Saccharomyces cerevisiae S288C: one gene and its partner. The protein of the gene in region 1 purifies or fractionates together with the protein of each later gene. This does not show direct contact. Each region holds a gene or a part of one and is shown on either strand. Other genes may lie near its edges.

Region 1 (3,574 bases):
AGGCACTTAAAAAATAAAGTTCCCGGGGTCAATTTCTGGTAGTGGCAAGCAAAGTATACTGAAGTTGGCAAGCAACACGTAGCCTCTGCATATATCGGCCTTTCTCGGAATGAAATAATCAAAAAAATATTATGCGGGAAGCCGCTGTTTTATTGAGCATTCTAATGCTTTCTTTTTCCCAGCACCTAAACCACACAATACTTTACTCCAGTTCCGTATTTGCCCCTCCCATGGCATCACGCCTATACCTTAACTGTTAATTCTCACCGTCCCCATTATACTAGGTTTAAAAAAGAAGGTGGTCAATCCTGTTGATATCTGTATCTCTATATAACAAAACTTCGGTATAAAACATTCACACTTCGAGTAAAATCAGTACCTATCTTCATGGACCCTCCAAAATGTCAAATTGTTATCAAGCGATTGATAACTCTAATGCACAGGTGTAATACCGTTTTACTACTGTCAAAGAAACTACATATAGTGTGAGAATCCAAAGCTAACATTTTCGAGTAACTTCGGGTTTTAATAGATTATTATCTGAATGCGAAGTTCAACATTTGTTGTTTCCAGCGGCCTTCTTTGTTTCACAATACAGAAACTAATATATATATATATATATATATATATACGCTGCAGTTCATATTTTAGTCTATTTTTTGAATAAAGGTTCCATTTTGTCGGAGAAAAGATTCTTCGACTTTGCTCTAGAAATTAAAAACGATGGAATATTAATCGTCCCAAGTAACGGTAGTGGAAATTGGCCAAACCCTGCATTTGGCCCAAGGGAGACACCACTTGGGGCATGTCCTGTCTCAAGACAATCTGCATCAACGAGACTAGCCTCTGTTCCTTCTTGTAAAGAACTTATAACATTTCGGGTCAAAACATCAACCCAATTATCTCTTTTAACCAATCCGTGATATCTAAAATTCGTTACATCACCAATGGCAAAAACGTTTCCTGCCTCAACAGCTTTTACCCTGAAGTTTTTTTCAACTTGAATGAACCCTTTCTTGTCACAAAGGTCTGAAATACTGTTGACCGGCACATTTGGAGAAATACCAACGCCTCTGTAAATCAAATCAGCATCTATATATTTAGATGAGCCCTCACCTAGAAAAATACGTTTCGGCGAGGTGTCTAAAGAAGCCCCTACTGTGTTCAAGTACAACGTAATACCATTTTTTGAGAGATAGTCTGTCACATTTTTTCTTAGGGTATCGTTGTATAACCCAGAGTCCGGCAGTAGCTTATCGGAATTATGAATAATGGAAATACGCTTTTTGCCAGACCTGATCTCCTCCAAATACTTGAATAACAATTCACCAGCTAGTTCACAATTAACAAAGCCACCGCCAAGAAAAAGTATGTGATCTGCATCTGAGATTCGAGAAGCCTCTCTTTCAAAATACTCTTTATAGTTATCCCCGAAGGTATAAGTTGAACCAATTGGATCAGCCCACTTTGAGCCAGTTGCAAGAACCAAGATATCAAACTTTATGGCCCTGTCTGACCCCAAAACTACCTCCTTATCATCAAAGCTGGCAGCCGTATCTTTGATAACTTCAATACCACTATCAAGAACATTTTTTAACGGCAGGATCGACTTGGTATAATCCTTTGAAACCGTCAAACGGACAGCTGAGGGTAGAAAATACACATAATTAGATGCTGTGACGAGCTTTATTGCGTATGTCCCACCCAGTTCCCTGTACAAGTGATTTGCCACAGACACACCAAACACACCAGCACCAACAACAACTATGTTCTTTGTGTTAATTGTCATATATTTTGCAATTTCTTTCTTCCTTTCTCTGCTCTTTCCTGTAAATAATGAAGAACAACGATGAGGAAATGTGTGTCTATCAATGATTTATCACTGCTTTCGTTTCTAGTCTGCAGCAGCTAATATATTAATACTTATAATAGGCTTCATTTGTCCAGCCAGATAAAAAGGACTAATCATGCAGGGTGGACATTCAATTAATTTTTATCGCTTTTTAACGATTACTAATCCAGTATTACCAACTACAATCACTCAGTCATGTATCACTAATAACGAAAAGTAAGCTGTACAATGCTCATCTTCCTAGCACTACTAGTACTGCTACTATGAGACACCATTGAAGTCTTCTTCAAGACCCCCATTATGAGAACACTTGGCTCACTATACAATCGGCGGGAGATGGGTTGTTATTATAGAGAGTTTCAGGAAAAGCACTCCTAGATTCTAGTCAAGTACTGCCTATTGTATAAGAGACGAGGGCACGAGATAGCGCAGTATTTTATGATGAAAATATGAAAATAAATACTTAACTCATTGAGTAAGCTTAGCTGGGCAACTTAACTAACAGTCAAAAAAAAAAAAAAAAAAAAAAAACAAGAGCCAGCAAACTGACATTAACATTGATCAATAAAATAAGAAAAAATGTACCAGAGAATTCGATTATGAACTGATGACAATATCATTAAAGACTTTGCACAGTATTCAAAAACTAATCGAGAGCTTTGACCAAAAAGTGTCCCGACTTTATAATGAGACCGCCGCTTAATTCATAGGAGTTATATGGTATGCTTTGGAAAGCTATTACATTGTTTGATAATTCAAAAATAAGCCACAATACTTCACCTATTGTGTACCATGTATTATAAAACATCGCAGCTCGTATCTGTAAACATACATTGACTTACATTTTAGTGATAACTTGGGTACTTGAGTGAAGTCCATTTCTCCCGTGCTTCCGGAACATAAACCAACATAGATTCTCTTTCACTCGAAACTGCTCGAAGCTGTTGCTCTTTTTTTGATCGTGGCTTTAACTATAAAACTCAACAGCTGCGTGATGAACGCGCTGTCAACAAATTTCATCTTGCGAATTATATAAAAAACACTGCGAGTGATTAAACCTCAGTAAACTTGTTACGTACCTCATAACATTAATGTGAAATACACTATATTGAATATGGGGGAAGAGATTAGACTTTTGTCCTCTAAAGGTCTTGAGACCCATAGTAGCTTTTGTTTGCCCGAGGATATTTTCAGAAACCGTTTAACATGGTTGTGCAGTGAGATTCGCAACTCAGGATTTTGGATCTGGTCGCTATCATGGTTACCGCTTGCCGTTTGGTGGGGGATGGCCAGTACTTGGTTTTATCCCCTTCTGACTTCAGTAGTTCTAATCCTGGCGCTAATTGCTATTTTGCCAGTAGTTCAAATACAGTACAGTAAATATACTTTATCAAATCAACTCACCCAGCTTTCTAAAGAAATCATCAAAAGTGCACCAGGTGCATACTCTGCTGATTGGGACGCTGTTGCAATACATTTCAATTCCTACTTGTATGAAAACAAAGCATGGAAAACTGCACATTTTTTTTTTAATGGTACTGACTGCCAAGAAGCATTCAGGAAAACCATTCTAGAGCCAGCTGTTTTGAGGAGACAAAACGAAGATCCTAGGTTCAGTTCAATTGAGATTTTGGTCCCTTACACCGAAGACGCGGTGCAGGTTTATTTTACAAAAGTAAACGCACAGTGGAGGTTGATCCATGGTAAGAAGGAATGCAAACT
Region 2 (3,473 bases), on another chromosome or scaffold:
TGGTACTTTTGGAGGCGAATACAAACTTTCATCAGGAACAGAAGGAATAACCGCTGAAGATCTTCCATGTGTAATAATTGAAGATGGCCCAATTCCTATCATGGGTGACATCACTGCAAGTGGATGTTCACTTGGTTCTACAATTGCTTCCTTTATCGGTGGGTTAGATTCCACTGGAAAACTGTTTGATGCTGTGGTTGGTGCTGTCCTATTATACAAATCAGCTGGTAAGTTGGCTTCCACCCGTTGTCAAGGAAGTGGTTCATTCCATGTCGAATTGATTGACGCATTATATCAATTATTCCATGAAAATAAACCAGAAAAGTGGTCCGCTTCTTTGAAGAAATTCAAATAAACTATTTACAACGTAATGATTTTATAAACTGATTAAATAAGGAAGAAAGCCCAAAAAATTGGAAAAAACTTAAGGAATTTGTGCGGATAGTATCTGAAGAATAAATAAGTGTTTTCATAAGTTTTGAAGTTACAAACTAGCTCGTTTAGTTTGTATATGACAGCCTACTTCTCTCGCTTGGTAAGGTTTTAGGATCCTTGTCTAGAGCTTCATATTTTGCAATGGTCTTGGCCTTCAACTCTTCCTCTTGCTTTGGTGTCAGTTTTTCGACCTTCACCCCAGGAGGAACAAACTTGAATTTACCTGTGGCAAACTCTCTGTCTGATAACCTGCTTAGAACATATAGTTGAGAATAAATGTATCTCACAACAGACTCTAAATGAACCATATCAATGTTCTTTCTTCCACCAAAAAGATTTCTCCAGACAGCTGTCGCAAGTGTACCATCATCTGTAGCAAATCCTTCATCATATGCAAATATCGCTCCTCTTAATTGCGTATTGAAATCTTTCAAATATTGATCTGCGATTCTACCAGAATTAACTTTCATTTCCTCGAATAATCTCAGCTCAATGTCAGAAAATGTTCTATCTACCAATTTCTGCTGATAGTTTCTGCCGTATTTGAAAGGCATGGCTCTCATACGTACAAAAAGTATCCACTCGTGCAATACAGTGATTTGAAACCATTGTGAAAAAGTACGTGGTAGCTTCAAATCCTCGTAAAAGTATTTAGCAGTTTCTGATAATGGCTCGTCCTCGTATTGTAAACCTTGCTCTTTACAAATTTTATAATAGTAAGATCCTGCAACGGGCCCTGCCCTCACTCTATCCATATCTAAATGAAATGCTCGAATTACTAGTTCACCCAAGGCTTCTTTCCATTTGGGAAGTTCGTACTTTGACGATTCATATTTACTATGAGCTAGAGGAATTTTATTCTGAGCAGTTTTCACTGGTGCTTTATTGCTTACATCTAGTGGTTTCGAATTCAGATGTGAGCTTTTTGCTAAAAGCTCTGGCGAATCTTGTGCAGTTTCTTTATTTTGCTTGAAAACACATGTTTGATGCAAATAAGCTCTCGAGTAGTAAAAAGGGGACTTTCTAAGGAAAACAGGGAGTCGACCTGAAGTAAATCTATTGACTGACATCATCAAGTGTTGGAATAGCTGAAGAGATTGTTACGGAGATCATAGTGTTTGCTAAATATTAATCTTACTAATGCGTCAGTCGAGGACCAATTTTGACGTTGTTTTCCTTGCTGGCTATAAATTCAGAAGAACGCCGGGTAAAGCCTAAATACAACTCCAGTCAGACGCCCTGAAATGGGCCAATTTATATACGAGGAATAATGAATGGTGAAGATTAAATAGTAAAAGATATTTCTAATATCTTTCTAAGGCGTATACAGGAAGAGTGATTTGAACTGCAGAGTTGTTTCTAGTTGCGTTCTTCATCCTCTCGTCGTCTTGAAATAAGTTGACATTCAATCTCCTCTAATATACCCTGCACATCAAGATGTGCAGCTTTATCTACTCGTTGAGAACTTATCCCATAGCCTGAAACATGACTAATATGCTTATACCTCTGATGATTTAAAAGCTTCGTAAGAATATCCTCTTGCCTTTTTCTTTTCGTTTCAACTATAAATTCGAGGTCTATCGTCCTCAATTGTTCGAAATGAAAATTCAAAGGATAAATCAAATTTTGTTGCTTTTTGAGAAGTGCTCTTTCACATTCTCCAAGGTGAGCTACGTCTTTTAAAATCGCTTCCAAAACGAGATCATTCTTTGTCCTTGATAGTTTTTTGGAAATTTTCTCCATGTTGGAAAAATGTTGGCCGTTGGATGTACAAGTTGTCTCAATTCTTTTCAGTTCAGGAAACGTGAACTCGTTATTTTTCAAAAGTTTGTGATTTTTTTTGAAGGTTTCATCACATTCAATACGCCTTTTAATTTTGAACTGTTGCTTGTATGATACTTCAATACGGTCCATTTTGGATGTCAAAGCTTTCTTCAATTGTCCCTCATTTTCTCTTAAATCATCCAACCTATCTACTAACATATGTATATCTTCTATATCGTTGAAGAAAGCCCATTGATGATGAGAGAGTAGGAGCTTTTCTGGAGTTTCTGATATAATTTTTTTGTCTATGAATGCCGGAATAGTTGGCCTCATTAAGATACCGTTTGAATTAATTATCATGAAATTCTCACCTTGAGCAATTTGATAGTAAGACCCGTCTGTCGACCTAAATATTGAAAAGACTTCTTTTGTCGCGTAGGCAGTACCTTTTGCTTTAGCTAACAACTCCCATTTTTTCAAAGATTCGACGTCGACATCTAAGCAAAAGTTTATATCCGCTTCAGAGGGTCCTTGAACCCACAAAAAACAGCAGTTGTAAAGTTCCTCATTTTTTTCACTGATGGCTGATGACGATCCATTTGAGTCCATCCAATAATATCGATTTCCATTTCTATCTTTACCCAAAATCTCTAGTCTCTTGATATCGCTCTGAATCAATTTTGCCTCTAGGAAGGCGATATCTTCCATTAAGTATGCAATTTTCACTTTAAGGGCATTGACCTTACCTTTACATTCATCTGATCCATATCGGTTCATTGAAACGTTGCTGTGAAGCTTCACGCGATTTTTGGTTAACGTTTTTAGTTGCCGTTTCAATTTGATATACTCTTTTTTTGCACTATCCAACTTTAAGCGGATTCCATTGCACAGTTTTGGTACTTTATCTACCAACTCCTTAATATAACTCGAGAAATTGGACGCAAAATCTACGAGAACCCATAAAACATCAATTTTATCTTTTATAGATAATCTCTTGCGAAAGTTATCCCAGAGCTCATCACCTAAATTTACAAAATTCATGGATAAAGGTAGTATTTTTTTTGTGATACATTTTGCGACATCACTATATGCTATCATATGTGTATTCTGTTGCAAGATTCCAAGGAGACAGATCAACCAATTGCCGTTGCTAAAGTTTTTATTGTGCAAAAGTTTAACCCAGCTAGTATCTCCATAGTTCAAACACTTTTCTATAGCTATATCAATTTCTGTTTTATTTCCTTCCTCCTTTCGCTTTTCTTCAGTCCAATTGT

The links.
Region 2: the proteins of AIF1 (region 1) and CBP3 purify together in Saccharomyces cerevisiae (affinity purification with mass spectrometry, with the first as the bait; one large-scale study listed by BioGRID). This does not show direct contact.

Annotation. Positions count from the first base shown.
Region 1 is NC_001146.8:776,950-780,523, forward strand, and holds AIF1 (Aif1p), read right to left. Parts: upstream 1,790-3,574; coding exon 653-1,789; downstream 1-652. Other genes in the region: COS10 (Cos10p), read left to right, coding at 2,967-3,574. UniProt on the Saccharomyces cerevisiae protein: Putative FAD-dependent oxidoreductase involved in the resistance to cercosporin and other singlet oxygen-generating photosensitizers. Translocates from mitochondria to the nucleus under apoptotic conditions, where it degrades DNA and induces apoptosis.
Region 2 is NC_001148.4:145,451-148,923, reverse strand, and holds CBP3 (Cbp3p), read right to left. Parts: upstream 1,509-3,473; coding exon 501-1,508; downstream 1-500. Other genes in the region: THI6 (bifunctional hydroxyethylthiazole kinase/thiamine-phosphate diphosphorylase), read left to right, coding at 1-355; YPL216W (uncharacterized protein), read right to left, coding at 1,795-3,473. UniProt on the Saccharomyces cerevisiae protein: Chaperone required for the assembly of ubiquinol-cytochrome c reductase of the mitochondrial respiratory chain.